3 linked regions of the Alligator mississippiensis genome follow. The protein of the gene in region 1 interacts with the protein of each later gene in a pairwise test. Links are inferred from orthologs where the notes say so. Each region holds a gene or a part of one and is shown in the gene's direction. Other genes may lie near its edges.

Region 1 (10,007 bases):
GAACCGTCTCTCCAGGACCCAGTGGGGGTTGGGGAGGGAGGGAGGGCAGCGCTGGCACCCGGCCAGCCAGGTGGGGCCCTGGCTCCCTCCAGCAGAGGCTGGGCCTGCGGCCCCTGACGCCAGCTCCTGCGGCAGGTGCTGATCTTCGCGGAGAAGAAGGCAGATGTCGACGCGATCCATGAGTACCTGCTGCTCAAGGGTGTGGAGGCCGTAGCCATACATGGAGGGAAAGGTCAGCGCAAGTGGTGTGGGGATGTCCACCGTGTGCACCCCTGGGGCCACGTGCAGCCTGCAGAGTGCTTCCCCGTGCAATGGGAGCTGCCCACATGCCCTTGCAGGGCACGTGCTGGGCTCGCCACATGGGCAAGCCCTGGGCAAAGACAGTTGGACTCAATTCCCGTGTCTGGGCCATGGGTTGTACCGGGCCCCACAGCCAGCGTCAGTGCAGGGGGTGGGGGTGTTGCACTCACAGGGTATGGTCCCCACTAACTGCTGGCGCTGGCCCCACAGACCAAGAAGAGCGGACAAAAGCCATCGAGGCCTTCCGGGACGGGAAGAAGGATGTCCTGGTTGCCACGGACGTGGCCTCCAAGGGCCTGGACTTCCCGGCTATCCAGCATGTCATCAACTATGACATGCCGGAGGAGATCGAGAACTATGGTGAGTAGGCATTCTGGGCCTTCCTGTGGGCCCCACCGGGTGTGGGCAGCTTGCTGTGCCGGCACTGTGATGGGGTGGAGGAGGGACACTCGGGCTTGGCTCCCAGGTGGTGGGAGATGGGGGTCCGTGTTCAGGCTCCTGCTTTGGTCCCCTGGCCCTGACCACACCTGTCTTCCCACAGTGCACCGCATTGGGCGTACGGGCCGCTCGGGGAACACGGGCATCGCCACCACCTTCATCAACAAAGCCTGCGGTGAGGAGCATGAGGGGTGGTCTGCTGGGCTGGGGCACACTGAGCTGGGCAGGGCGTCCTCCACTGACCCCGTGTGCATTGCCAAGCCAGTGATGGGGTAGTGCCAGGTGGGTACTGGTGGAGCCATGAGGAGCCCAGTGGCTCAGGCAGTGTTGGCCCGGGGTCTGGATGGGGAGGGTATCGAGGGTGCTCCTCTTCTGTGGTCAAGCTGCCCTGTGCCCCACACCATGAGGTGCTACACTATGGGGGGGCACTCTGCTATCCTTCCCACCTGGGGCCCTGCTCTGCCCCACAGCCTTGCGTTCAGTGTGCCCTGCACTGCAGGCTCCTTCTGGCATCTGTGCCTGGAGCCTGTGCTGAGCTGCCCTTCTGCCCCCAGACGAGTCGGTGCTCATGGACCTGAAGGCGCTGCTGCTGGAGGCCAAGCAGAAGGTACCACCTGTGCTCCAGGTGCTGCACTGCGGGGATGAGACCATGCTGGACATCGGAGGTGAGAGGCTGCGGGAAGGTGGCACTTCTGCTGCCGTTCTGGCCCTAGGAAGGGCTGCGTCCTGTCCAGGGAAGGGGGCACTGAGGCAGGGGAGGGCGAGAGCAGCTGCAGGTTGCTTGAGCCGTGCACTCTGGCAGTGGCTGCACTTCTGGGGCTGTTACTCTCCCAAGAGCTGCGGGAGCTCCCCCATCCCAGGCAGTGCCCTGCCCCTGCCCGAGCTCACTCATCCTTCTTCCTGTCATAGGGGAGAGGGGCTGTGCCTTCTGCGGGGGGCTGGGCCATCGCATCACAGACTGCCCCAAGCTGGAAGCCATGCAGACCAAGCAAGTCAGCAACATCGGCCGCAAAGACTACCTGGCCCACAGCTCCATGGACTTCTAGGGCTGCCCGCCGGGCACCAGCCCCTGCCCAGATGCTGTGAAGGGGTGGGGGAAGGGGAAGGTGGCTGCTCCCTGGGCAAGTGCCAGTCGCACCAGGAAGGCCATGTTAGCGCCAGGCGGCTGGTCCCTGTGTCTCGGGCAGCCACGCCACGGCCTGCTCCAGGCCCCTGGGGCATGCTGCCCATTCCCTGCTGCTCCAGAGCCGGGCTGCAGTTCTGGTGCTGGGAGGAAGTGCTGTGCCATGCAGCAACAGCCTCTTACATCAGCCCTACTGTTGACATGCTGGGATTGAGCAAGTGGGAGCCTCTGGGCCAGATGCACAGCACCGGCCCAGGGGGATTTGGGTGGGGGGAGCTGGAGGGCAGTAGGGACAGTCTGCTAGCCCAGGCCGCCTCGGCTCGGCCTGGCACAGAGATTCTGCCAGGATGCCCTTGGCCCTGCCAGGACTGTTCCCCAGTCTAGGGGATGCTCAGCATCTTCCTGGGGCTGCTGGGCTGGGCAGGAAGGGGCAGTCCTAGTCCTCAGCACCACCCCCCTTGCCTCAAGCAGGGGCTGTGAGAGCCTGCCTAGGGCAGACTCGCAGCCCCGCCTGCCCGTTCTGCCCCACTGCTCTGCTCTGGCGGAGGCAGGGCCAGCTCCACGGCTCACACGCCAGAAAGGGGAAGTGGATGCAGAGGGGAAGTCTACCCCTGCACTCCTGCGGCAGCAGCCCCAGCTCCCGTGGCCAACGGCTCCACAACCCAGGCAGCTCAAGCCATGGAGGGGCCCGTGAAGGATGGGATCCTTTATGTCCAGCACTTCAAATTTGGAAAGGTAACGGGCAGGGCTGGGCTCCAGGCCTTGCTGGCCAGGGGGAGGGGCGTGTGGTCTCGGCCCCACGCCTGGGTGCCGGGGAGGCAGCCACAACCAGCAGTCCTGGTGCTCCTGACTCTGCTGTGGGTGCTGCCTGCGGCAGGCGCAAAGGGCAATAAAAGCTGTTACAGAGTACAACGTGGTGCATGTGAGTGAGGGGGGCAGGTGTGGAAGCCCCTCGTCTTCCCTGGGGCTGAGCCCTGCTGCTCTGCCGTTGTCCCAGGGTGGGTAGGGACCAGTGCTTGCCAGCAGCCCAAGTGGAATGGGGATGGTGACTGGGGCCCAGTGCCCTCATGTGGCTTGGGTTTGCAGCCAACTACCCCACAAGCACCACGGTCCCTACAGCCGTGGTCAGGGTCTGACCATAGGCAGCAACTGCAGGCGGGCTTTCAAGGCAGAGCCTCAATTGCCTCCTGTCCTGGAGGTGCCAGGTCCCCCAGCAACCTGCCCAGCCCGGGTGCCCTTGCAGGGCACGGGAGATGCTTCCTGCAAGCTGCAACCCTGTGCCTCAGGTTGGAAACGGGTCCGGCCTAGGCTGGGTCGCAGCCCAGCTGGACCAGTGCCAGGCTGGGAGCACGGTGCCCATTGGGGCAGCCCCCATATCCCAGCACAGGTGGAGCGGAGCAGGCAGGTGCAGCCCCCACATGGGGTGGGCAGTGCAGCCATGGCTGGCGGTGCTTCTGGGCCTGTCTGCCCCTTCTCCTCAGCCAGCACGTGGGGATTGCAAGAGGAGGCTGCAGCTGCCCCGTGCCCTCACCTCGTGACCCGCTGGCTGCTGCAGAGCTTCCCCCGGGAGGAAGGGGTGGGTGGTGCTGGCAGGACCTGGCCCATGTGTCAGGTGCAGGGCTGCTGTTGGTCGTGGGCGCAAACAGCCCTAAATGGCCTGATTTGCATAGGGCCTAGGCTGGAACAGCTGGTCCACCCCACCTGCCGGGCCCCCAGGGGCAGCACGAGGCTGGCCGCAGCCTCCCAGCCCGGATGCCTGGGCTGTGTTCTCGGAGCTGCTGGGCCCAGAGGAAGGGCGTGAGATGCCGGCGGGCTGAGCCCGCAGCCCGCAGGGCAGGCGCAGGCTCCAGCTTGAGCAGGTGCTGCAGAGGCAGGGTGCCTGCACGAGGGTCTCCTTTCCCTGCCTGCCGGTGGCTCCAAGCAGCATCCTACCAGCTCCATCCCTGGCCCAAGGGTGCTGAGCCCTGCTCATCTACCCACCCCCAGAGGTCCTGGAAGAAGGTGCGGGCACAGCTGTTCGCGGCTGGCCCGTCAGGCGTGGCCCGCATGGAGCAGTTTGCGGTGCGGGACGGTTCGGGGCCCGAGAAGACATCGCTACGCCGGGGCGAACGCCGGGTGCTCCGGCTGGCCGACTGTGTGTCCGTGGGGCCTGCCGGCAGTGAGGGCTGCCCCCGTGGCACGGCCGCCTTCTGCCTCCGCACCCTGGACAAGAGCCACGTGCTGGCGGCCGAGCAGCCTGACGAGTGGGTGGCGCAGCTCTGCCAACTGGCCTTCCAGGTATGGTGGACCCTGGCCAGGGGGTGGCACAGGCGGGCGGCTGCATCCAGCACCACGGAGTCGTGGGAGGCTCAGGTGGTGCTACAGCCAATCTGCCCCCTCCCCAGCCCCTGGAGGTCCCGTGGTCAAGTCTGTGGACTTGCCCAAGCTCCATGTGTTCCCCCCTCCAGCTCCCTGCAGCTCTGCTCCCCAGGCGGTGGACGCGGCTCACCTCTCTGCTTTTCAGGGCACAAAGGAGATGGCTCCAGGCAGCAACAGGGCCTCGCCCAGCTCTGGCCTCCACATGGAGGAGAACACGATCTACTCGTCCTGGCACGCACGTAGGTGCGGGGGGCTGGTGCCTGCCCTGGCGCATGGGTGGACACGCCTTACAGCCGGTGGGGGGTGGGCTGTCATGCCCTCACAGGAGCCAGGGCTGCAGCGTCAACGTGGGCTCCGTTCCTCCGCCAGCGAACGAGTTCCCAGTACTGCTGCTCCGGACCGAGGCCTCCACCCGCTGCGGCCTGAGCGGGCGCTACCTGCTGGCCGTGCTGCCCGAGCGCCTGGTGTTGAAGGAGCTGCAGACGCGGCAGCCGCTGCTTGCCTGGCCCTATCCCTTCCTGCGCAAGTTCGGCCAGGACCAGGTACCTGTGTGGCCCCACAAGCCTGGCACCCCGTGCCCCACTTCTTCCCTGCAGTGTCGGGGGGGGGGAGGTCCTGGGGCCCTGGCCTTCCCTGCCCCTTACCCCCATCCGCCCACAGGCCATGCTGTCCTTCGAGGCCGGCCGCCGCTGCGACTCTGGTGAGGGCGTCTTCACCTTCAGCACGGGCCGCGCTGCCGAGATCTGTGGTCTCATATCCGCTGCCATCGCCCGCCAGAGGAACCAGGAGCCCTGGCAGCACCCCGCCAGCAGCCCCGAGGGGGCACCATCAGCGTCCTGGGCCCTCGAGGACGGAGGGGCCGCGCCACCCGCCTGGCTCCGGCCCGAGCACCCTCCGCCCCAGCCCTGCTCACGGGAGCCAGGGGCTCCAGACAGGGTGGACCACACCTTCCCCGTCATCTACGCCTCCATTGCCCGGGGCCCGCAGCCCCTGCCTGCTGCCGTCCGGCGGGAGCCGGAGCCGGAGGCCTGGGGCCAGCAGCCCTCCGAGCACCTGTACGAGAACCTGTGCGGCCCGGAGACAGACTGCCCGGGGCGGGGCCTGGACCAGGCGGCCGCGAGCTGGCACCGGAGCTGCCGGGAGCCACCCGAGGGCAGCAGCGGCCCCGAGGCGCCCATCTACGACAACAGCTGCATGGTGGCCGCGGCCCGGAGCGGCGCCCCCAGCCCCGTGCTCCAGCCCCGCTACCAGCGGCTGCAGGACCCGGAGGGGCCCGACAGCGCGGCCCACGGCGAGGCCACGGCCAGCAACGGCCTCCGCCGGAGGCTGGTCACGCTGCTGAGCAGGGAGGCGGCGCCGCCGGTGCCCGGCCGGACCCCCAGCCCCGCGGACCGCGCCTGAGCCGCCCGGCGGGGAGAAGGGCGGGGGCAGCGGCCGTCCCGAGGGCTCCGGCGGCGGGGACCGAGCGGGGGGCGGCGGCGCTTCCCGGCAGGACGGGCCGGGCCGGGCGCGCCTCTCCCGGACAGCGACACCCCGCGGGCTCGGGGCGGCTCCGTGCGGCGCCGGTTCCGGCTTCGGGCGCCGCGACCAGGAAATAAAGGCGGCGCCGGAGCGACGGGCAGCGTCTCCTTGAGCGCGGCGGGGCGGGGCGGGCCGGTAACGCTGGAGCCGGGCGGCGGCCCGGCGGGGAAGGAGGGTCCGGGGGCGCACGCGGGGGCCCGGGGCCCGCAGCCGCGCAAGCGCAGTAGGGGCGGGGCGGGGCCTAGGGCCGGCCCCGCCCCCGAGGGTACATAGGGCCCGGCGCAGGGAGCGCGGCCCGCAGAGCGCAGCGGTGTCGGGCTCGGCTCGTCGCGCAGTGCCGGCTCCGCCCGGCCGGGCCCCGCAGGTCAGCGTCCGCGGGCGGGCGGGGGTGCGCGGGGGCTGCGGCTCCGGGGCGGGGCGGGGCGGGAGCCTGCCCGGCCGGAGCCCCCGGTCCCGCCGCGCCCCGCTCGGAGGAGCGGGGCCGGGGCACGCCGCGGTCGCCCAGTGCCGGCAGTGCCGGGCGCGGTGTCGTCTTACACGCCTCTCATCGCCCGCCCGCGCCTCCCGGCCCCGCCTCGGCTCGCCGCGCCCCGCCGCTCACCGTCTCCCTCCCCAGGCATGAGCGACATGGACGCCTACAAGGTGGTGCTGGAGGGGCCGGCGCCCTGGGGCTTCCGCCTGCAGGGGGGCAAGGACTTCAACATGCCGCTCTCCATCTCGCGGGTAAGCGCGGCCGGCCGGGCCCGCCGAGCCATTGCCTTATAAGCCTCGGAATGCGCCGGCCGCCGCGGCCAGCTGGCAGGAGGGCGGCCCCGGCCCCGGCCCCGGCCCCGGCCCCGCGCAGGCTGGGGCTCGTTGCGGGAGGCAGCTAGCCGAGGGCCCCGGCCCTTCCCCGGGCCTCGCGCAGCCTGGCTCCCAGCTGCCCACGGGGGGAGGCTGTTGGCTGCGTGCTGGGGTCGGGGCGCAGGCGTGGGGGGGCAAGAGGCTGCCCAGGAGGTGGGGTGGGCTGGCACGTCTCGTGCCCACAGAGACACAGCCCCCGGGTCCCCTCCGCAGCACCGCGCCCTGTGCCGGTCTGAGCTTCCTCTGGGGCGCGTCGCTCCCAGCCAGGCCCCTGGCTCCAAGCTCCCTCCAGCAGCCACAGCGCTGCCCTGCCCGGAGCTGGCCCTGCCCAGGAAGGCGGCTGTGCCGGGTGGGCACGGTCACAGGCGTAGCCGAGGCTTCCTTCCTCAGCTCGTTAGTACAGCGCCTCCCAGCCAGCGGGGCCCAGGCAGTGCCCCAGGACCCCCCGACAGCCAGCGGGGACGTGTGCTCCAGGCACTCGTGCTCCTTGCCATGGGGCAGGGGCAGGGCAGGTGCTCTGGTGCGTGCAGGGCTGGCCGCGGTGTGAGCGACGGGGGCAGGTGGGGCAGGCCTGCAGCCCCATCCCAGCTGTCAGAGGTGGCGCTGGGGGCCAGGGAGAAGTGCTGAGCTCAGGCAGGAGAGGATAAAAATACGCCCTAGTCGTCAGCAGGGCTGGGGTCCTGCGGGGACACGGCCCTGCTTCCCCCTGGGCGCTGCCTAGGCCTGTCTCCAGCCAGCCAGGAAGAGCTGGGCAGGGGCCTGGCCGGGAGCAGGATGCGGCTGCAGGGCTGGGCTGAGTGCGCGAGGGGCAGCTCCTCTGCCTGGTCGGGGGGTCCTGGCCACCCGGAGGCCCGGCGCAGGCTTCTCCGGCGCTTGGAGCCGAGAGCTTTCCCGGGCTGGGCTCTGCCATGGCCCCCGGGCCCAGCCCGGCTGGGAGCGAGGGTCTGTGAGCACCAGCATCCCCGCAGGCTCCGGGGCTGGGGCGCGCAGGGGGCGGTGCCGGCATCGCGGGGGCCTTGGCCCGGGGGGAGGGGCCTGGGGGCCGCCGCCGGGATCTGGCTCGCTCCTTTTATGTCCATGTTGAGCCAGAGAAGCATTTGGCTCCAGTCCAGGAGCCTGGAGCTCCCCCAGCCCGGCCCAGGCAGCTGGAGTGAGAGCAGGCCCGGCCGCACTGCAGGCAATGCAGGGGGTAGGGGGTGGCCTGGACCCACACACCCTTCCCCCCCACCGTGCACCCGGCTGAGCCCTGCTGGGCTCCCACCCCAGCCTGCGGCCCCCGCAGAAGATGCTTCTCTCAGGTCCCCGGGGCCGGGGTGGCAGCACCACACGTCTGCCTCGAAGCTGCCCCATCCTGGCCTTGGCCCCTGCCCCTCCGCCCCGGGGCCGAGGCTGCTGTGGTGGTGCCGGCTGGGCTGGACTTTCCCGCGGGGGGGCGGGGGGGCAGCCCCAGCGGGTATCGCTGCTCACGGCTGGGATGAGGTAACGTCTGTCCGCGGACAGGAGATGGGGGAGCGACCAGGGCTGGCCAGGGTGGGAGCGCCTGTCTCCCCCCAGCCCAGACACAAAAGCCTCGGAAATGCCTGTGGTTCAGGCTCCAACAGGCCCGGGCCTGATGCATGGGCTGCGCCGGGACGGCGAAGTTCTGACTCACGCCCGGCTCCCGGGGACGGAGCTGCTCCTGTCTCGGCCGGCAGAGCCGCGGGGGGCGCCTGGTCTCTGTGCCAAGGTGGGGCCTGGCCCGGGCCACAGGCCAGGAAAAAGCCCCCAGGATGTGTTGGGGGGGAGGGGAGGACTGGGAGTAGGTACCTGCCCCAACGGGCCCAGCCCAGTGTCCCCAGCATCAGCCAGGGCAGCAGTGTGGGCACTTGGCTTCCCCGGGGCACGGGGCAGCATTGCTCACTGCCCGCCTGACTCTCTCCCTCTGTGCCCACGGCAGCTGACACCCAGTGGGAAGGCGGCGCAGGCCGGCGTGGGCGTGGGCGACTGGGTGCTGAGCATCGATGGCGAGAACGCTAGCGCTCTGACCCACATCGAGGCGCAGAACAGGATCCGCGCCTGTGGCGACCGCCTCAGCCTCAGCCTCAGCAGGTGCCAGCCCGGGCATTCCCCTGCAGGGCACGGGTGGGGGGTGCTGGGCTGGGCATGAGCAGGGTACGGTAGGGACCAGGGTGCTGTGGCCTGGTGCAGGGGTGGCAGGAGCATGCCTATGGGAAGTTGCAGGCGTGTGTGCATCTGCTGCTGGTAGTAGCCGGCTGGTCAATGGGAGGCTGCGGAGGTCCCTTTGCCACAGCCCCATCAGCTGGGCCCCCACCACCCAGCGCGGCTGTATGCCCAGGGCACTGCCCAGGCCTGGGGCATCCCACCCAGATGTGGCTCAAGCAGGAGCCTGTGTCTGGCCCTCGCTGGGTCCAGCTGGTGGCTTCGCAGCGCAAAGCTGCCTGTGTCCAGGGCACAGGGTAGAGCGTTGCACGCTGGGCACCGTGGTGCTGAGGCTGCAGGAGCCCGCACCTGCGGCTGTTGCTCACCTGGGCTCCGTCTCTTCTCTTGCAGAGCCCAGAACCTCGTGGGGAAGCCACAGAAGGTACGTGGCGCTGGGGCTGCGGGGGGCTGTTGGGCGGGCTGGGGGGCACCGGGAGACCTGACTGGCAGGACCAGGCGTGGCAGGCAGCTTCCCATGGCTCCACTCGTGGGGCTGGTGGTGCAAGGCCTGGGCACCTGCCGGCTGCCACAGCTGCTTGCTGCCTGCGAGCACCGGGTGAGCTTGGCTTCGTCCTGCGGGCAAGGACAGGGACAGGGGCTGCGCTGCCCTGCATGGCTGCTCCTGGCTTCCTAGTGCTGCCGTGTCGCACTTGTGCAGCTCCCAGGCCCCCCCAACTGCCCATGCAGGGTCTGACCCTGAGGTGGGGGCATTGCCTTGCAGAGCCACTTGGGGCTGGGCACATCCTATGTGGCCTTGTGCCCGAGCCGGTGCCCCACACCTGCGCCCACGCTTGCTGCCCGCGTCGCCAGCCGCTGTCATGTTTTGTCTCCTGCTCAGGATGCCCCCCCCCACTCTGAGCCCCTGAAATACAGCTTTGCGCCCAGCTCCGCCCTCAACAAAACTGCGCGGCCCTTCGGGGCCGGCACCGCCCCAGTGACGAAACCCGTGACGTACACGCCCCTGGCGCCTGCCAGCGCCCCGCAGCACAATGGGTACGTTGCTGTCCATCACGCTGCCCCCCAGGCGCCCTGGCCCGGCCTGGGCTTGCCCTCGCACCACGGCCTTGCATGCTGGACCCGTGCCCGTGTGTGCCCCCCACCCCACCCCACCATGCCTGCGGTGTCCAGTGCCCCCTGGTGGCTGGTGCTGGTGTTGCACTGCAAGAGATGCTGCTGCCCGCCAACTTCTGCGCCCAGGGTCTGAGCTCCCCCCGCCTGCCGGGGC
Region 2 (10,980 bases), on another chromosome or scaffold:
AATAAATAGCAGTAGAGCATCAATGGTTACTTTGTTACAGTGCCACAATAGGGGCACTACATAATGTAGTTGAGGAGCACTTTCATTATTAGCCCCAATTTTCAGACATACATAACTTCTTGATGAAATTTGTTGTTATTTCACCTACTTATTCCCAGCCCAAAGTAATTTTAAAGAAAAGTTTGACAAGATTTTATATATCTGTTTTTAAAGGAAAAAAGTGAATCGTCAATTATTGTGATTTAGAAAATAGAGACCCTATTTCACTTGCTGCTTTACCTCTTCTGTCCCTCTAAAAATTAGGGCATAAGGGACTTGTGGGTATATTTGCTCTTTCAGTGTCTTTATTTTTAGTTTTCCAAAGTTTCCAGTTGGTATAAGCAAAGCACACCCAGCATTTGAACATAAATCAGTAAGATTATGTTGAGGCCTATAGGGAAAGGTCATATTTCCCTAGGTGAGTAAATACAGATGTAACATGGATTTTAATCATGCAAATATGTGCTACATTTTAAGTCTTTTCCACTTTTGTATTTTTAAGTCAATTCAAGTAAATTCAACACAATGTCAAAAATTTTAAACACAAAAATCAGGATATTCAAAGTTATGATTTCCCAACATAATTGGATTTTAGTTACCCTGAAAATACTGTACCATCTCTTTTTAATAGTGTGCTTGGTTAATTTAGAACTTTGTCGTAAAATATAAAAAGGCATGAACATACTCTCACACACGTTATTGCAGTTTGGCTTCATAGTTTATTAACAAAACTTCACTTTAATGAGGAACCTTTGAAAAGATTAAAGTGCCATCTGTGAATGCAATGCAATCTATTAAAGAGAACTAATACATAAAATACATAGCATCTATACATTTTCTATATGCTGTACACGCACAAACCGCACATAAGGTGGAAGATCGAACCTTATACATTTCTGGCTGTCCTCCAACACTTCAAACACTCTATGAAGAGAAAAAGTTCCCATTTGGCTGTCATGCTTTTGTATCCACTGTCAGTGCTAGAGATGGTCATAAACAGGACAGTTCCATTTTAATGCTTAGCTTTGTACAGGTCCTGTAAATCTTGCAGAGCATCCATGAACATAGTAACTACCATAATGGATTAGATCCAAAGTCCACCTCATTCAGTCTGCATCTGGCCTATACCAGATGCTTTAAAGGAAGGTGGCAGTTATGAGTTAATTTGCCCCTCACATTGGGTCTCATCCTGATCTCTCACAGTTGGAAATAGACACAAAGCTTACAATTATCTTCAAAACAACGTTATTAATTATAATAACTCTGGGCTTTCTTGTTACTCATTAAAAATGTATATTTTCATATTATATCTTGCTTGTGCTCAATGATTCCCTGTAGCAATTACTTGCAGTTGCATAATAAAGAGGAGAAGACTGAGTCACTGGGATGGGAGGTGAACAATGAACAATTAGAACTGTCTGCACTGCTGAGCTGGCCAGTGCCATGTCACCAGCAGTACAGCCAGTGACACTGCTCTGTGTGTCACTGCCACCCAGAGTGCTCAGGAGTCATGTTATGACTCTGATGATTTCAGTCAAGTCCACACATGGCTTTTCTATTGGTATAACTATTTTAGTTCAGAGAGATGAATTTTTACAAAATAATTATCCTAGTACAACCTCTTGTGCTCATAGAAAGTTGCCTTACACAAGATACCTTCTCTCCTCCCATCCAGAAAATCCTATATCTCTTGTAAGTCTGACCCTTGACCACAAACTATGCCTTGGGATGATCCTGCCTTCTGCAGGGGGGTTGCACTGGATGACCTCCTAAGGACCCTTCTAGCCCTATTTTTCTATGATTCTATGACCAAAATGTAATGTTGACTGAGACCAATAGGTAATGTACACATCTTAGACCTACATGGAAGTGGTATATCAGCATCATCACTAAGGGGAGAAATTGTTTTGTCGTTGCTATGTTGTTATATAAAAAGCTCAATATTGCTAGTTCTTGCAAATTTATTCCAAAATCTCTTGATTTTATTATTTCCCTTAAAGACCATGTTTCTGGATTCAAGTGATTATATAAGAACCTCAGCTTTCATTAAAACAAAGTAGATGGGATATCACGAAATCTTCTTCATTGTTAGAACAGTGAGGCAATGGAAGAGACTGTCTAGGGAAGTTGTGGACTCTCCATTGCTGCAGTTGTTTAAGAGGGTGTTGGACACCCACTGGTTGGCATAGCTATGCCTATGTTCTACTATGGCTATTTCCTATGCTTCTGGCTTTGCTGGTTGCCTCCTCCCCACCTTTCTGCTGTCTGTCAGGGAGTTTTTAAGTCTTTCTCAAAGGCATTAAGTGTTGGTTACAGCCAAAGCTGTGGATTTTGACTGGGGTGTGCCAGTGCTCCTGCTGGGACTTAAACCCAGAGGTTCCTGGTTTAAAAGTCTTGCCCCTCAGCTCAGGGTCAGACTGATCACCATATCTGGGGTCAGGAAAGAATTTTACCCCATGGTCAGATTGCTTTAGGCTACGAGGGGTTTTGCCTTCCTCTGTAGTAGGAGGCATAGTCCTTTTTCTGGGACCTCTTGAGAGTATATTAACAAACTTTTATAGAAGCAGGATGTTGGCTGCTGCTGTTCCCTGCTTTACCTGTGGCAGGGTAGGGTGTTATGCATTGTGTTGTGTTAGGGTTGATAGTAGTTTTACAAAGAGTTCAGATTATGGATTTGTATAAAATGGTTTGGATAAGGATGATTTTGCCTCAGGCAGGGGATTGGATTAAATGACTTCTGGAGGTCCCTTCCAGCCTCACCTCTCTACATTCTACAATTCAAGAGTGTAGATCTGAGGGTTATGAAGAAAATCTTCCTAATGTGACCTGAAAGTACCCTAAAAGCTTAGAAAATAGGGGGGCAAATAAAATAACTTCAGATTTACAATTTTTTTAACTGCATGATTTTAAAACCAATCACATGGTTTTTGTATCTTGACTTGTGATTTGGGGTTATTATATTATAAGCTTATTTTGTAGCTATTTTTGTTAGTTACAGAAGGTGCCACAACCTGAGAGCGGTAGCTGGCTCTTGGCAAATTATGTATGTCCAGATACTGGCCCCATGTAGGTTATTAACAAACCCTGTTGTATAACTGTTTAGCCAAGTGACTCAACTTTTCTGGACTCCAGGCACCTGCCCAGAAATTTGTGAAATGAGTGGCACCCCGTTTAAAAAACTAATTGGTATATTCCAGGGCTTACCTACTTGTAGAGGAGCTGGGCAACGGGGTAAGGGATCGTCCAGGATGAGCCTGTGCTTTTCCTCCTTCCTCACACCACCCTAAAAAGGATCTGGTGGCACTCCAGGTTGCTGAAGCACTCTGGTGGAGAATTACTGGTTTGCCTTATTTAGCAAGCTCTGTTCTTGTTTGTTTGCATTATATAAATGTATAGCTTTATAAATATATATTATTATCTGCCTCCCAGGTTCCTAGACTCAATAAGTTTCCATAGTATAAACTCATCATATAGCTGTACATGCATGCATATGCACTCTATAATTCAATAATCATGCATGCATATCTAAAAGTAAAATTTAGCTTGAAAAATTACCACCGTCATTTAAATTAGGTGTACGTTTGGCTTGGTTTGCTGGGCTAGTATACCAATATATTAAACCCTGAGCAACAGAGCTATGCGAGCCAAAGTTTGTTATGTTAACCTAGCTTTCAACATTTTTATTTTGAGTGAGGTATATTTTCTGAAGGAAATTAAGCTCTGCTTATTTTCTTCTTCCCATTTTAACTTTTCCTGTATTTTCTTTCCCTTCAACCAAGTGATAAGCTGGCTCTCTGGAAATATTGACATTCAAATGCAAGCTCCTGATTATAGTTATACAAATACTTCTCTTGGATAAGTTGTTCTGCCCCACATTGAGTTCTTTTACTATCAGTACTTTCCATTCTAGCTCAGAAACCAAGTAACACTCTTTTCCTTTTCAGAGACCTTTCCAGCCAAGGGGAGGAGAAAGGAAATGCCCTGAATTTTACACTGACACTCTAATCTAAGTGTAACTGTCTGTCACTCCCAACAGCCAATCATATCACTTTGGAGGATGGATTAGGACACTTCCTTATCTGACAGTAGCCTTAACAAACAGTTGGCACTGCCTATGAGGGAACAAGCTGCTGCCCAATGCACATGGAGGGTGGGATTTCCTTCCTATTGTCTGCCTGCCTCAGTCCTGACTGCTTCATATGATTTTAAATCTCTTGGTGCTGCTCCCTAATTGAGAACTTAGCTATCAAAGGGGAGCCTCTATATCAAATACTGAAATAAATGCAGATAAATGCATGTACAGGAGCAGAGGCTAAACAGGGCCAGCTAATGTGGCTTCAAACTTGCATCTTAATGAGCACATAAAAAGTCTTTTCAATCATGCTAAAGCTAACTTGAGTGAGCCAGAATGACTGAAAGTCATATATATTTCTTTGTCAATCAAGACAAGGCCTAAAAGCCAAGTCTTGCAAATGCTCAGTCACTTGAAGCTGGATCATACAAGGCGCTGATCCTGATCCTCATGCAGGCAGAGGGAAGATCAATCCCTTGAACACCTAATGCTTATGTCCTATTTATATGACAACTTTTATGCTAGAGTTTTTTTCCTCCCAGGTTATCGACTGTCAATCACAGTAACATTTATTGAAGACACTTCCTGAAAGTTTGTTTCATGACACAAATATTTGTGCTTTGCCAAAAATAAACATTTGTATCCTGGAACAAACATTTGGAGAGTGTCCAGGCTAACCTTTACAAGTGCGTTAACTACCACAAGTTATTTGGCAATCATTTAACTCCAGGTTAAAACCTCAAGGGTACAACAACCTTGAGGGCCGGATCACACATGTACAGATGAATGTTCGAGTCGGACATATTGTAGGTTGAGTACTTGTATGACAATTGTCCCAATAGTTTCCGAGGGATGAAAGGTTTGATCCTGCTCAAGCTGGAGATGATTGCAGTTTTGCCCTCTGACAATATTACTGCTATGAACATGGGTATGGCCTATGAACAAACTACTCATGGTAGTAAGGGTTTATAGGCTCAGACCCTAAATCCTTTTCTCTTTTTTAATATTTATGGCTCAGAGAAAAGTATATGCAGTGGGGTAAGCAGGCAGATGAATCCTATTGAACCCGAGTGTCTAATTTCTTTGTACTTCTTTTGTAATCAGGTACCTACACCATTAAAAATCCTAACCACTAAACATAAATTACACCCAAATGCTCAAGATGAAATTGCAGGCTTCTTGTAACCATACCAAAAGCAAATGCCTCATAATGTATACTTATTATAAAAACATTGACTTTAAAATGAAACCTATATTCTTAATAATAACAACTAATAGTAATTTGGTATCAGCCAAATTCCTCAAGTAATATTAAAAGATGAAAACACAAAGGGTGTTTGCTGATCTATCTGTTGTAGTTATCTTAGATATTCTAAATTGGTCTCTCATATTGCAATGAACAACAAAACTGAATTTATATTACTGCTACACAACAGATTACATTATTTTTATTTTATTTGGGAGATACTAGGCCCTGATTCAGCAGACCTATGCATTATTGTATTATTAGTCCTAGTCACTTCAACATGGTTAAACAGTTTAGACTATTCACAGCACTTAAAACTAGGCATGTATGTAAGTCTTTTTTTTAGATCAGGTGTTAAGATTGTGAGTCTCTTATGAGAGTATTCCTCATTTATTTCAAAATAACTATTATTCACATGCATAAATGTTTAGAATGAGAGTCTGTATCAACTGCAAGAAAAAGATCTGGTTAAGCCTGTAATTATGATGCAACTTGCTTCTTTCTTTTAGTTTATAAGGTGCATCACAATAATTAGAATGGATGTAACTAGCCTGGCATTAATATTAATCCAATATGCATTTAGTACATCTGTAGGCACCCCATAAAATACATACTCTTTCTCCCTCTCAAAATAAGTACACACACATTTTACATAAAACCACCCAACGGGCTAAATATGAAAAATTACAGACACTATTTGCTACTTGTTTGTTTTTAATATGTATTGTTTTAGTAGGCCTGATCCCACATATACATCTAGAACATGGGTGCCTGAAGCTGAACTGGAAAGTAGCATCTGCTGTTGCAGACTAGGGCTGTTTGCCTGCCCAAAGTCAGTGGGCACTTTTGTGGGGTGGAAACAAATCCAGAAAGTCTCTAAATTGCATTTGAGGAGGGAAGGACTGGTGTCAGCAGGGCCTGCTCTGTGCCACGCTCACCGCCCTCATCCTGCCATGGTGGGGCCCTCCCCGCACACCCACAGAAAAGACTGATTGGAAGAAGGCAGGAGTTTCAGATCTGTTTAAAATGTATCCTATTAAAAAAACAACAACCCATGAAATAAACGAAATAAAAGCAGCAAACAGCAACTCCAGCAGACGCCACTAGAGTTCTCCTTCTCCCAAATATCCCCAGCACCATCCTAAACCCTGTTTACCCCAGAAGCCTGAACTGTGGACAGACAGCAGAGGAGGAGAGAGAGGGAGCGAGCGCGAGAGAGAAAATTCAGACACAATAAAACTCTGAGGGGGGGGAGAAAATATGTGGACGGAGGCGGCGGCGGAGGCAGCGGCCTGGGGAAAGGATTGAAAAGTTTCCCCTGGCTGAACTTCTCCCCCCCCTTTCCCTTCCCTTCCCCTCCCCTCCCCTCCCCGTCTCCTCCCGCAGCAGCAGGAGCGGCACCGCACAAGGTGAGCGAGACTTTGGCGGCGGCGGCGGCGGCGGCGCGGGCGGGCGGGCAGGCGGCGGGGCCGGGGTGCAGCCCGCGCCCGGCCCGGCCCGGCCCGGGGCCCAGGCAGACGCCGCGTCTCCTGCCGGGTGCGTTTTTTTTTTTTTTTTTTAAATATGATGGAGGATTATAAACATGGCGCCTTAAAAAAAAAAAACCTACCCAATCCTGCACACACACGCTGTGCCCCGGCGGCGGCGGGGGCCTGCCCGAGGCTGCGGCCGCCTGGGGAGGGGGCACGCGGGGACCCGGATTAAATGCGGCCGCGCGTGTGTGCGCGCGTGGGGAGGGGGCTATTCTTGAGGGGGGGTGTTAACTCGGTTTAATAATAATGCGGGGGGGGGGCATTATTAACTCGGGTTATTCACGATCTGCCCCCCCCCCGGCCGCTGGTCCGGGTTGTTGCAGCGGCGGGGGCCTCCGCGCGGGCCTGCTGCGAGCGGGGGAGCCGGGGGCTCGAGTGAGCGCTGAGGCCGCGCGGGGTGTGGCGCAGCCCGGCCACAGCCCCGCTCCCCCCCCCCCCGCGGGCCCAGTGCCTGCTTCGCTCCCCCCCGTGTTAGGGGAGGGGAGGGGAAGGGAAGGGCCCGCCCCCCCGCTCGGGGAGAGCCGCCCGCCTGAGGCAGACAAGGGAGCGAGGCCGCGGGGCTCCCAGGCCGCGGGGCCCGGCCTTGCGTGTCCGCCCCGTGCCCGCGGGACACTCCTGCCCTGGGGGCACCGCCGCCTCCTCCCCCGGGGCAGCTCGTCCCTCCTCCCCAGTCCTGCTGGCAGCCAGCAGCTGCCTGGGCCTCGGGAACAGGGGTGATAACTAGGGCTGTGGGAGGCAGGGCAGCCTGAGGGACTTGGGGAAACTTTGGCATTTGGTCCTGGCCTCTTTTGTTCCCGGATCCCTCCCTGAGCGTGAAACCTGTTGTCGCCGATCTTGCCCTGGTGCCAGTTTCAAAAGACGTTTCCTTCCTGCTCGAGAACCAGGATTTTGGGGAGCTACGGACTGGAAGAAAGGAAACGTGGAGTATAACGTTGGCCGGGCGTATCGCTCCTGGCTAGTTTGGCCTTGGGGTGTTTCGCGATAAGACTTTGCGCGCCGCTCTGGTCAAGAGCTAAACTAGAACAGCTTTTTACGAAGGGAACCCCTGGTGCCATGGAAAGGGTAGAAACCTTTCTCCCTCCCTTTTGTTGGCTTTGCTCAGGTGCTGTTTCGTAAACAGCCTTGAATTCCTTCAGGGAAAGCTTGGAGACAGGTGAGGTTTGGTGGGGGGGGGTTGGGAAAATGCAGTTTCTGGTTTTGGGTTGCAATCCCTTGAGTTTTCCTAGTCCCTTATCACTCACCATGAAGGACCTGGCACCTCTCCACACATTTTGTTAATAATTTTGTTCTCAACCGTTCGGAGCATGTTACAGAAAGTCTTGAGGGAAGGAAAGCATTTGCTAACTGCTGTTTTATATAAAAAAGTGAAAGTATACTCAGAATAATTCCCTGCGTAGGTTTACATTTAGTGCCAAGCTACAGTTCAACAGACTCGTGCTCTTTTGACTGGCTGTTTTGATGGGAGAAGCAAAGGACTTGCGGAGCCCTAGCAAGGAGGAGCATTTCTTTTTTTTTCCTCGTGTGTTCCAAACTAAGCTAATGGTGACTGAAAGAAATTACTCTCGTTTGACTGTTTTGTCTGTTGTGAGGTTTATTAGCACCTCTGTCATCTTGAGCAGATAATACATTATAAGCACCACTACAGTTGGCACCACTGAGGCAGTTTTAGACAGCTGAAGGACTGAATGAGTTTAGAGAATGGCCTACACCTAGAGAATGCGCCTCCAGCTCACTATTATTAGTTGGATAGCAGGATGCAAACATGCTGCTATATGGAATAATGTTCTAGCTGTGGTGATCCAGGGAGTGAGCGAGTTTGAATTTTTGAATTGAGTTTGAACTGCATTTGTTCAGTAATTGGACCAACTACATAGTTGGGAGTGAGGTTAGACAAGCTTTCAGACCCGAGGAAGCCTATTTTGTGCCCAAAAGCTTGTCGAGTATCTCTCTCAACAACATGATTTTTCAATAAAAGACAGTGGTAAACGCATCCTGCTTCTCTACTATGTAGAGTCAGCTTCCAAGTGGGGGTGTGTGCATGCATGTGCACATATATAAAGCTTTTTTGTTTAAATTGAAATGGGAAAGAAATACTGTAGTATTATCCTACTGGTTACCCTTTTTCTACAGTGTGGAACTGTATAATATTAGTTTCTTCTGTAGGGAAAAAATAAAAAGGATGAGACCTACGCAGCATACAAAGTTCTATCAGTTTAACCACTAGTTAAACTGATAGATAGTTATCTGGTGTGATAGTTAAAACAGTTCTGATAGTTAAACTGGTGCGATGTTAAAACAGTTCAATTTTGTATGTGTACACTCTTGGTTCTGTTCTGGTTTATACTGGTTTAGTTTGTCTGTATCAGTTCTTCTGATAAAACTGTGTATGTATAAAAGTCCTAAGTTACACTAGATATCTTTAAAAAAATATCCTGCAAATGTGAAGAAAGCGTTCTGGACACAGTGAACTAGTATTTTGAGTATTTTGACTTAATTCACGCGTTTTATGATCTTAGAGTGTCATCTATCACTGTTTAGTGGGGGGAGATTGTTAGAAAGAAAAGGTGCAAGTCTATACAGACAAGGCACCTAAATCTGTCTGTAACAAACCTAAATAAACTTGGTCTTATTTTTCCAAAAACTTCTCAAAGTTGCCACCTTGAAAGCCAGGCCTAAATTTTGAATTAGATGTCTATTTTTAATCAACTTAATTTGACATTTTTTGCCTTAATATCTACAATCAGCATTTTGTTCTCATTCGTGGTTACTCGCTTGCATGTAATACTTGATCTTCCAACCCAAGTAGGCCCAGAAGGCTGTAGATCCTAAGGTCACAGCTAGCTAATCTATCCAGAAGATAGGATTTCAATAGAGACAGTTCAGGCCCCTAGAAACAAAATACCCAATAAGCAGTTTAGGCTGCTCGTATTTTTTTAACCACACGTAGAGGACTATTTAGCTGAAAGTAAAATAAAGTTAGCATGGTTTCATTTTGCTGCTGGACAGATACATTCCCACAAATATTAGTACTCTGTTGACAAAATTCTGCTGTAAAACAAATCAAGTTATAGCGCCAGATTCATGTACCAGCTGTGAGTTTGGCCCATGGAATGCTGAATTTTGTCAAAAATTAATTACTGCACAGATACGTGTGTAGTTTTTTATTTGTTTGTTTGTTTTAGTTTAAATTTCCTGAACCGGTCTATATAAATGATTGTTTTGCAGAGGCTGTGCCTATAGTCAAGTGTACTGCAGCTAATTTCTGTTTGTCTATGTATTCAGCATATGGTTGTGCAGCAGTTGATTTCTATTGGTTGTACTTTTTTTAAAAATTCAGTATGTAATATGAAGTTTCTTTTAGCTTTTTCATTTTCCAGTGGAGATTCAGGGTAACCTTCTTTATGCTACAGGTTTACATTATCAGAAGTACGGTTTGTGGCTTGGGTCATCTCTTGCAGACAAGACTGCAAGCTGAAGCTATTTCTTTTACAAGCATTTCTAAGAGTAATTTTTTTCAAGAGTCCCAAAATATAGTCAGAATCAAACACTCCCTTGCTATTTGAAGCGTGGAGCCCTTGGCACTTGGGCAGCATAACATATATCATCTTTTATGGAGCTCATATATTTCACTTTGTCAAGGTTTCTTGAGCTGTTGTGAACAAAGGTTGTTTTTATCGGGTCTGAATGGTTTTTGCTAATTTGGATATAAATTTGGATCCTGATTAGGTTACTTGCCACTCTGAAAGTTTGTTGTCAGTTTGGGAAATGTGGCATACAAAGCAGACGCAGCTTGCAAGACAAAATAATGACTTTGAGTAATTTGCGTTTAGAGGGAATTTTTTAGTAAACTTGCTCTGTAGGGGTAAGTTTTCTGCAGTCCATTGACAATAATCTTGTTTTCCTATTTTTAAAACTGATGCAAGTGTGGTTTGCAATACAGATCAATTATAGAGCAAGAGCATAAACCATATACTTATTTTAAATCCAATTTTATGTTGATTTTAAATGGTGTAAAATAAAGATCCCATCCCAGAAAACACTTCCTGCTTGACAAAGCATGTATAACTGGGGATAGTCTGTCAACCAGACTG
Region 3 (10,487 bases), on another chromosome or scaffold:
AAATTCCACCTCGGCTCTGTGCCAGCAGAAAGTTCCTTTAGTGGAAATCCTCTACTATGGTGCTGGAAGCATGTCGGGGAGCATTGTTCCACTATACTAATTCTCACTTGGCCTACACTCCTTTGTGGACTGTATTACTCTAACATAAGCTATAGCAGCCACTGTGCTGCTCTTAAGTTGCTCCAGGGCACCGAGTTGCACCAAGCAGTCCTTGAAATTGGCAAGCTGTAACAGGTTTGGATTGCTTGATTAAACAAATTGCTTCAGTCTCCATTAACTACAGCACTGGTTCCCTTGATTCCAGTTCTACGTATCCTGGCTTTCATCTTTTGTAATTTATCTGTTTCTTTCTCTCACACATGTACATCATTATTCATTCATAAGGTAAAAATCCAAATAAAACCTTGCTTTCCTTCATTTCAGCTAATGCTTAGAAAATGTCTCAACAAAAGCAGCTTTGGGAGGAAAAATCTGAGTGATATGACAATTGCAATAGATGTATCCTTCATTCTGGCAAGAGTTTGACATCGAAACCAGCTGAGGGTCTGACTTTTTCAGAGGTCTTTGTAGTGCTTTGACATCTGTCATCTATTGCAAAATAGGTGCCAAATGGCGATTGAATCATTCTGTAGTAAAATAAAACTCAGAGGAGTTTCTAAAATGCCAGGCTTGGAGCAATGTGCTTTCCACAGAATGAATGTGATGTAAACTGTGTTTCTTTCTGTTGATGTGTATTTTTAATAAATGATGTGTTTGTGGCTAGAAAATCTAGGAAGGCTGCACAGAATAGTGGGGAAAGGCTTTTCTAACTAAAAAGACTCCAGCGTCACGATAATTTAAATAAAAAGAGCCTGTAGGCTATTAATTATGCACCACCAAAAGTGAGGTGCATAACTTTCCAGGCAATGGGTAGATGCTGACACTTATGGGTAGGGACCCACTTAATTTTCTGCGAGACAAAGACATCTTTGTGACTTTGACCTGGCATCAAGAGCCCATTTTGCGAGCATTCCGTGGCAGCCCCGCCTCTTGGCTCTGATTGGCGGAGAGACCCTGGGGCAGCCACTGTCTTATCTGCTGCCCCCATCATGCTGCCCTACCAGCCAGCACTGTTCCTCCTAAGTAGGCTGTGAGACATGCCCAGGAGGGAAAGACTTAATAAAAACATTGTTATTAAGTCGTTGCCCCCCCCACCCCCCTGCCCCCAGATTTCATGGTCTACCCTGGATTTCGTAGTTTCCACAGAATCCACAAAACTGCTATTTAGGTAGGTCCCTATTTATGGGATATGTGGTGAAGGATGCAATTCTCCAATTTAAAGGGACTACATGTGGCAATAAGTACTTGAGTGAGAATTGCAGAATCAGGTCCTAAATAAATAATACTAAGTATTAGAACTTGGACATACTTAGGAGTGTGCCAGAACTTAGAAATACCAAGTCAATTCTAGTGATACTTCAGTTAGATATCAGTTGATAGGTTGGTCATTGTTTAAACTTTGGTTATAGTCTTCCTGTCAGAATTCAGTCCATTTGTTTAGATATTAATTAATTTGTAGGAAGCGTTTCCCGACATAATAGTTTCACTTTCTTACAGCTCTCTCCATGTATGTTGCATCAAATTAAATCTTCCCTATACACCTTTATATTTGTTTAGTTTTTCATATTCATTTGCCAATGTGCACTCTTCCATTTACATTCCTTTGGAATGAGTCCTAGATGTTAGTCATTGGGAGAAAAATTCATTTGTTTGCTCTTTTTTTTCAATTATGCAAGGTCTTTTTTCCTTCTTGTTATAGCAAATTGAGGTCAAAGTTTTAGTTTGAGAGAGACTAGGAGTTGCTTTATACATAGGCTTGGCAGGATTTGACTTTTGTTGGTAAATGTTGATAAATTATTTCACTTCACACTCACAGACTGCGGGAAAATAGTGCCATCATTAATAATCAACATTTATAGAAAGGGGATGTAAGAAAAATGATGGCTGATGGACTGTGTGAGAACAGGAGGAACAGCCCTGCAGAACTGTGCTATTAGTTTGGACTGCAACTCTCAGAAACCCCAGGGCACTGGGAACAAAGGAAGAGGAAGTGACAAAGTGGACAAAGGAGCTACTGGGCAAGTGGAGCTGGGATTGATGGCAGCTCTGCTGCTTAGCTGGCAGCAGTCCTACAGTAGTTATATTTGTCATGATGGGTGATTAAACTGCACTATAATAATAGTATACTGTCATTAATAAATTGTCTGCCCCCACACCCGTAATTTTGTGCAATCCTGATAATTTCAATCAATAAAAATCAAAATGAACATTTAAAAATAAACATAGATGTTAACCATCAAAATGATTTTATATATCTAGATATAGATATGGATATATATATAATCTCGAAGTATGCCAAGTCTACTTGTATAGTAACAAGCCATCTCCCTGTGCTCCTCCCAGGTGCTTTCAACACTTTTAGGGATGTGGCTTCCTGATCAATAAAGATTGTAACCAGAAATTTCTCTCTGGGGGTTGGAGATTTGCTGAGGGAGAGGTTGCACCATATGGGCTTCATTGTCCCCAAACTTCAAGCTGGTTTGTGTATATTTAAGTCTTCCCAGAGCTCTGTTAAAAATGACAGGGCTCCATACAAGTGACCCATGTGGATCAGCCTATAGTGGGGGTGCTCTACCCTGGCTCATTGGCCAAATCCGGCTCAAGGAGCCATGCTATCTGGCCCATAGAGCTCCTTATGGGTGCAAAAATTTGACAGTGGGCGAGCAGTGACAGCAATTGATGCTCCCCTGCTGCCAAATTTCCAAAGCCATGGGGAGCCTCATGAGCTGGATAGCATGCTGGATCAGTGGGCAGATATGGCCCAGGGCCAGATCTGGGTACATGTGCATTGACTGGAGGTGGTGTAGAGCCTAATTCTGCAGTGTGGGGTCCAGATCTGATGGCATGGGACCCCAGGGAGGCTTAATGAAGCAGTGCAGGCAGCATAGACCCCCCAGGGAGGTAGTGTGGGTGGCATGGAACCAAGGGAAATGGTGCAGACCCTTAGGGAAATTGTAAGGGGCCCGATCCTGTTTCAGGAGCAGAGGGAGGTGGTATGGGGCCCAATCCTGCCATGTGGGTTCCAATCTGGCCTGGGGATGGGCCCCGTACCTACTGCTTAACCTGCCTGCCACACCAAAAGGTTGAGTAAGATTCAGACCTAGAATGATGAGCCCTGGGCACTGATGGTTTAAGCAGGTGCAACCCCATTGGCTTAGTTATTCCAAGGATAAATTTGGGATACTGAATACGTAGTATAATCAGGACTAGTGGCACTACTTTATTTTTAAAGTGGCCCAGTGTTTTGTTGGTACCTTGTTCTCTGTAACCCTGTTGCTTGTAACTTTGTGAAACTTTTAACCACTTGAACTAAACTTTTTCATGCTAATTGTTTGCCTCAGGCTGATATTTCTTTTCTTTCGGAAAATTTCAGCCAAAACAGTTGAGGCATTTTCAAGACTGAGGCTAGGGAACAATATTCTGCTGTTTTTTGTTAAAATATTTAAATTTTTTCTTTGTAATGCTTTACTGCCCTCATGTTTTTGGATTAGAAACTTTACATTTGACAGCAGCTGCTCTTTGTACCAGGAATGTGCCCTTAGTCATCCCCAAGATAATCTCCCCAGATTTGGTCAAGTTTATAAACCTGTGAAAAATCACTATTCATGCATGGTTAGGAGAAATTCTTTATTTTGTTCTCCTTAAGCATATTTGGCTCTCATAAGATGAAATGGATTTGGCTTCCATCTCAGAGGAAAGGCAGCAAGAGGGCACAGCAGCTCCCCTGGCTCTCCAGGGACCTAGCAGACCTCCTGAGGCTAAAAAGAAAGGCCTACAAAGGATGGAGGATGGGAGTCACCTCCAAGGAGGATTATTCTGCACTGGTCCGGTCCTATAGGGAGCAGACCAGGAAAGCCAAGGCTGCAACTGAACTCCAGCTGGCTTTGAGCATCAAGGACAATAAAAAGTCCTTTTTCAGATATGTGGGGAGCTGGAGGAAAAGCAGGGGCAACGTCGGACTCCTGCTGAACCAGATGGGGCAACTGACAACTGACGCCCAGGAAAAAGCCAACCTATTAAATAGGTACTTTGCGTCAGTCTTTCATCAGTCCCATGGGACGCCCATGCCCGCTACGGGACAGGGAAGTCTGGGTGAGGGTGATCCCCTGCCCTCCACTGATGCTGACTTCGTGAAGGAACATCTTGAGAAGCTGGATACCTTCAAGTCAGCCGGCCCTGACAATCTTCACCCCAGGGTACTCAAGGAGCTGGCGAGCATCATAGCCCAGCCTCTAGCACGGATCTTTGAAAACTCTTGGCGCTCTGGTGTAGTGCCCGAAGACTGAAAGAAGGCCAATGTGGTGCCTATCTTCAAGAAAGGGAGGAAAGTGGATCCGGCTAACTATAGGCCCATTAGCCTGACTTCTATCCCGGGGAAGATCTTAGAAAAGTTTATTAAAGAGGCCATCCTTAATGGACTGGCCGACGCCAACATCTTAAGGGATAGCCAGCACGGGTTTGTTGCGGGTAGGTCTTGCTTGACCAATCTCATTTCCTTCTACGACCAGGTGACCTATCACCTGGACAAGGGAGAAGAGATTGATGTCATATATCTTGACTTCAAAAAAGCCTTTGACCTGGTTTCCCATAATCACCTCTTAGAGAAACTGGCCAATTGTCGCCTTGGGTCCTCCATGATCCACTGGCTGGAAAATTGGCTCCGTGGTCGGACTCAGAGGGTAGTAATTGATGGAAGTCACTCATCATGGTGTCCTGTGACCAGTGGGGTCCCCCAAGGCTCTGTCCTTGGACCCATATTGTTCAACATCTTCATTAATGATGTGGACACTGGAGTCAGAAGCGGACTGGCCAAGTTCACCGATGACACCAAACTTTGGGGAAAAGCATCCACACCAGAAGACAGGCGGGTGATCCAGGCTGACCTGGACAGGCTCAGCAAGTGGGCAGACGAGAATCTGATGGTGTTCAACGCCAATAAATGCAAGGTTCTCCACCTTGGGAAGAAAAACCCACAGCATCCTTATAGGCTCGCAGTGCTATGTTGGCTAGCACTATGCAAGAAAGAGACTTGGGGGTCATCATTGACCACAAGATGAACATGAGCCTGCAGTGCGATGCTGCGGCTAGTAAAGCGACCAAAACGTTGGCTTGCATCCATACATGATTCTCAAGCAAATCCCGGGACGTCATTCTTCCCTTGTACTCGGCCTTGGTGAGGCTGCAGCTGGAGTACTGCAACCAGTTTTGGGCTCCACAATTCAAAAAGGATGTGGAGAAGCTTGAGAGAGTCCAGAGAAGAGCCACACACATGATCAGAGGTCAGGGAAGCAGACCCTACGATGACAGGCTGAGAGCCCTGGGGCTCTTTAGCCTGGAAAAGTGCAGGCTCAGGGGTGATCTGATGGCCACCTATAAGTTTATCAGGGGTGACCACCAGTATCTGGGGGAACATTTGTTCACCAGAGCGCCCCAAGGGATGATGAGTAGGTCGAATGGTCATAAACTACTACAAGACCGTTTCAGGCTGGACATAAGGAAGAATTTCTTTACTGTCTGAGCCCCCAAGGTCTGGAACAGCCTGCCATCGGAGGTGGTTCAAGCACTTATGTTGAACACCTTCAAGAGCAAACTGGATGCTCATCTTGCTGGGATCCTATGACCCCAGCTGACTTCCTGCCCTTTGGGCAGGGGGCTGGACTCGATGATCTTCTGAGGTCCCTTCCAGCCCTAATGTCTATGAAATCTATGAAATAACTGCTTGCATTTGCCAAACTGAGCATATTCCATCCCCTCCCAACTTCTGCATAAAGCAGGATTGTGAAACCGCCAGCCCATAGATCATGCTGTAGCTCAGGGCTGTGCTAGGCTTGGAAGGACTCTTCCTGTAATTCCTGTTCCTAGGTGCTCTGAGCTGAGACAGGGAGGGGGGTCCACAGGAGCCTGCCATCCCTGCACTCTCAGACACCCCCAGCTATCATCAGTGCAGCATGGAGATGGAACCTGTCTGATTCAAATGTAAGAGAGAAAGGTATGAGAGGAGACGAGGAAAAAAAAGGAGTATATAGGATAAGGAAGCTGGTGGGGCAAGAAAGTTTGATGGAGCAGAAGTGAAGAGACTGGAACTGGTCTGGCAAGGAAACTGAAAGATGAGAGGGAGGGTAAGCTGGGATATGTCTGGGCAAAGAGGCTGGCTGGGAGCGGAGAAGAGTCTGGGACAGGAAGCAGGGACAGCCCACAATTTTTGGGCCCTGTACAAGATATAGTTTTGGGGTCCCGTGATCCCCTGATCCAGTCGGGGATGGGCTGCGTGTGTGTGGGCTGTGCTGCAGGGTGGGGGGCGATGTGCGGGCAGCATGTGCTGGGGACGCCTGGGTTCCCTCCCTGGGGTTGGGGCGGGAGCAGAGCCAGGAACGCCTCCCCTGCTCAGCCCTTTAAACATGGTAGAGGCTGTGGAGGGCAAGTGGGGCATGGTCCCTTGGATGCGGGGCCCCCTGCGACCGCAGGTTCCTTAGGATAGGACAGGCTACCCTGCAGGTTAGTTATGGAAACTGAGATTGTCTGGACAAAGAGAAATGACTGGGATGAGAGGCATGAAGAAAGGACAGGACACCAGAACTGGATAAGCAAGGAGTGCGTAAGAGAGGACAGGGACAAGTTCTAGGGGAAGAGGCAAAAATAGTTCAAGCATGAAGAGATGGTTATGGTCATACCCACCACATCCTGGAATTGAGCCTAAGAGCTCATCATGGACTCTCATCAGTTCTTTGCTGTCTGTAACATCTCTGAAAAACACAGACAAATTGTCTCCCCCCTCTCCCCCAGGCTGATAAGCATAGGATGTCAGCCTAATATAATACTGCTTTCAATTCTCCATTTCAATACTCTGCTTACTCGAGTGACAAAGGTCTGTGTGGTAGAGTTGGCACTTACAGCGCTGAGGATAGGTTGTGTGACCATCAATATGATACTACGTAATGGAATTTCTTTCTTTTCAGCATGCTTTTTTAAACCCTAGGAAATTATGCACACTCTCCCCCCCCAACAAAGAATTGCCTATAGCTTCTGGGCAGATCACAGAATCCACAACATTCTCCCTGTTTAGCCAGCAATTAAATCCCTTTCTAGGCGAGGATCCAAACTTTTTCCTCGTTCCCTGGGTGCCCCTGAAAAGCTATACAGGTTTCCCTGAATTTATGCAGATTCTTTAGATGCGAATTTGCTGTTATGCGATGAGCATATTTAGACCCATAATTCATTATATGCAAGGTTCTTATGCAATCAGCATAGATGCCCTCCCGCCCAAGCAGGTAAGTCTGTGGGGGGAGGGGAAAGGGTCGTGGCCCCACTCATCCCAGCCCCACCTGCAGCGGCCCCGGGAGCAGCCGGTGCCAGTGGCCTGTACCCACTGGGCTGCACCATGCTCTGCCTGTCCCCCTGCACCTGGGCTCACCCCAGCTCCTGGGCTGTGCCGTGTCCTGGTGCAGGCAGCTGGTGTCGACCACTCCTGGGGCTACTCCAGCACGGGCCGGTGTGAGTGTGGACAAGCAGAGCCCCGGGTGGTGCGGGGCGCAGCACTCACCCCAGCCTTGGCTGCAGTGGCCCTGACCAACTGCCTGTACCAGGGCACAGCACAGGCCAGGAGCAGAGGTGAGTGGGGACAGGCAGAGCATGGTGCAGCCTAGCAGCTGCAGCAGCCGGTGCCGGCTGCTCCTGGGGCCACTGCATGTGGGGCTGGGGTGAGTGCCGCTCTGTTCCTTCTGCTTTGCTGCCTTGTGCAGCCCCGGGAGCAGCACCCCTCCCTCCGTCCCTTCCCTAGTCCTCCTTCCCTCCCTTGTAGCAAAACCCCCAGTTTTTCTTTTTTTAAATTTATTTTAAAATGCATTCCCTCCCCTTCCCCAACCATTTCTGACTTTTTTTCTCCCTCTCTATTCCCTATAGATAAGTATAAGTAAGCTAAGGTGTAGGATACACTTTAACATTTTATTTTAGGTATTAAGTTTTATTTTTCTCTCCCCTCTTCGCAAATAAGTGCCCTGCTATTTTGATATAGGTATCCACTGTTTTATAAGTGATAATTATTATGTCCGTATTGATTTTTTTCTTTACTGCTTTTATATTGTGTAATTACTGTTTTAGGCCTACATACGTAAGTTAGCATAAGCCATGTCAAGTTTCCATCTGGTGTCCCCTGACCTATGACTCATACCTACTCCTCCTATGTAACTTGGTTTCTGAATGAATGGGGGATGAATGAGGGTGTTTGAGAGACAATGGCAGTAGGTCTAAAAATAGCTCCCTCTGAATGACCAAATCATCAACACCAATACCTGGACCAAGGACCCAGCCCTTGGAAACACCCTCAGCATTCAAGAAACAAAAGATGAGGCAACCCACCATTGTGCCAGGCTGCACATGCTCAGTAAGAACACCTGGAACTCACTGGAACAAGACTGACCTTGCCTGGACAGGCCCTCCCCATAGAAGATCAGGGGTAGTCTGCCCCATAAAAGGGGTAGTGAAGACTGACTCCTTGGGATGCCCTCTCCATCTGGACCAGCACCATGCCACACCATCTATCCACCCAGAGGCCCTGCCGGCGACCCCTGTCTGGACAATACCTACTGATCAAGGACCCCTTTCCAGCCTGGATAGGTAGCTATCACCTTCCACCCCCTCTTCAACCAAGGACTTGGACTCTGTTTCTCTTCCCTACCTGGACTCCAACCCTTCCACTGAGTCTCTTTCTCCTGCTGCCATTGTGAGTGCTCATGTGTGTGTGTGCACCAATAACTTCATGGGGCTGTGTTGTGTGTTGTCTGTTTAATAAAACTTTTATTCGGACCCCTGAGTTGGGTTTGCTTTACTGCAGTCCAGTCCTGCTCCAATCGCTGTTCCTCGCCCCTCTAACTTCTGTCTCATTTCTCCCTCTTCTGCTTCTGGCTCACTGCCACCTCCAGCACCTGTCCTGAGCTCCTCTCTGCCTCCAAACCCCCTGTTTCTTTGCCACTGTCTTATCCCCACTGCCTTTTCCCCTGAGCTCCCAGGTTTCTGCCTCAGTTTCTTTCCTGGCTGTCTCCTCCTTGCCATCAGGCTTTTTTCCCTATGCACCAGTGACCTCAAGTAACCCTGGGGCTACTTGATCTTAAGTAACCCCAAGCCTCAGTTCCTCAGCCAGCTTCTTTCTAGTCCACCGGTTCTAATCCCAGTTCTGGCAACTTTCACTCCCCATACTTTAACCCTCTTTCTCACCTTAACCTTCCCCCAAGTATCCCAGGTACCCCAAGCACACACATACACACTGTCTCATCCAAGTTAGGAACTTACCTGTGTGTATGTGGGTTGTATGTGTGAACTGGTGAATGTGTATATATATGTCATTGTGTGCATAATATACAAATTAGTGATCTGTGTATGTGTACTGAGTGTGCGGGTATGGACAATTGATTTTTGTCCAACTTTTGGGGTGTATAGTGTATGTGCTTGAATTGGTGATAGGTATGCATGTGCCTAGACTGGTTTGGATGTGTATGTGCCTGAGTGTATGTGTGTGTGTGTGTATGCACCTAATTGATTTGTGTGTTTGTATATGTGCAACTGTGACACACCTTTCTGTCTAACAGTGCAATATTGAGATCTTGAGAGTTGTCCTGACCCCACAGGGCAACACCCTCACCACTATGGGAACCTATCCTCATTTGTTACTTTGTAAAGTGGGTTTGCTTTATGCAAATTCGATTTATGTGCTGTTCTCTGGGAACACATATATAGCATAAATCGAGGGAAACCTGTACAACCTTCACAAACAACTAATTTTGCTAGGCCTTTCATTCCCTAACAGCTCAGAAGATCCCTGGGTCCAACAGACCTTTCATCTTGTTAAAGGGAAATATGGTCCCCAGGGATACTGTAGACAATGGCCTCAGCCCAACAATCTTACAAAAACATCTGTTCTTTACACTTCTTTGTTGCAATGTAAACCTGTGTGCCGAGGAGGACCAGGGACAAACTGTGACAGACCCCACATCAGCAGTCACCTTTGTAGCTTACATGGCTCACATTGGACTTTCCCTCAAATACATTTAGTTCAGTTCTGTATCTGTGCTGGAGCAGGCCACCAGGTGGGGACTCCATGAAAGTGAGTATCTTCTTTTCCTTCTCAGGAGAACTCAAGGTCTAAAGGTCACACCCAAAGCAAGAAAGCAGAAGGAGCAGAAATCTTCCCACTTTGGGATCAGCTATGGCTGCTATGTACCAGTTGAGGAATGGGCAGATCAGCTCACCAGTTACAAATTACACTGCAGAACACCAGTTAACAGGTAAGAACTCACCCATGTGGTAGCATCTCCTACAGTACATCACCTCTAGTGCTTGCTGGGGAATACTGGCTGACAATTGACTTCAGAGAGAATTAACATCATTGAAGCTTG

What was found.
Region 2: the proteins of PDLIM7 (region 1) and ZMYND11 interact in a two-hybrid assay, tested with the Homo sapiens proteins (2 studies listed by BioGRID). The link is inferred for Alligator mississippiensis from reciprocal best matches to the Homo sapiens genes PDLIM7 and ZMYND11.
Region 3: the proteins of PDLIM7 (region 1) and GEM interact in binary tests that used the Homo sapiens proteins (3 or more experiments, as listed by UniProt). The two-hybrid records come from large-scale screens. The link is inferred for Alligator mississippiensis from reciprocal best matches to the Homo sapiens genes PDLIM7 and GEM.

What each region holds. Positions count from the first base shown.
Region 1 is NC_081832.1:79,405,984-79,415,990, forward strand, and holds the start of PDLIM7 (PDZ and LIM domain protein 7), read left to right. Parts: upstream 1-6,001; 5' UTR 6,002-6,104; intron 6,105-6,356; 5' UTR 6,357-6,358; coding exon 6,359-6,463; intron 6,464-8,519; coding exon 8,520-8,671; intron 8,672-9,133; coding exon 9,134-9,164; intron 9,165-9,620; coding exon 9,621-9,775; intron 9,776-10,007. Other genes in the region: probable ATP-dependent RNA helicase DDX41, read left to right, coding at 136-232, 511-660, 842-913, 1,293-1,403, 1,648-1,784; DOK3 (docking protein 3), read left to right, coding at 3,614-4,138, 4,365-4,458, 4,589-4,761, 4,880-5,620. UniProt on the Homo sapiens protein: May function as a scaffold on which the coordinated assembly of proteins can occur. May play a role as an adapter that, via its PDZ domain, localizes LIM-binding proteins to actin filaments of both skeletal muscle and nonmuscle tissues.
Region 2 is NC_081828.1:200,872,149-200,883,128, reverse strand, and holds the start of ZMYND11 (zinc finger MYND domain-containing protein 11), read left to right. Parts: upstream 1-6,517; 5' UTR 6,518-6,766; intron 6,767-6,797; exon of another isoform or gene 6,798-6,893; intron 6,894-7,651; exon of another isoform or gene 7,652-8,042; intron 8,043-10,980. UniProt on the Homo sapiens protein: Chromatin reader that specifically recognizes and binds histone H3.3 trimethylated at 'Lys-36' (H3.3K36me3) and regulates RNA polymerase II elongation. Does not bind other histone H3 subtypes (H3.1 or H3.2).
Region 3 is NC_081826.1:43,630,071-43,640,557, forward strand, and holds the start of GEM (GTP-binding protein GEM), read left to right. Parts: upstream 1-6,024; 5' UTR 6,025-6,073; coding exon 6,074-6,075; intron 6,076-10,220; coding exon 10,221-10,376; intron 10,377-10,487. UniProt on the Homo sapiens protein: Could be a regulatory protein, possibly participating in receptor-mediated signal transduction at the plasma membrane. Has guanine nucleotide-binding activity but undetectable intrinsic GTPase activity.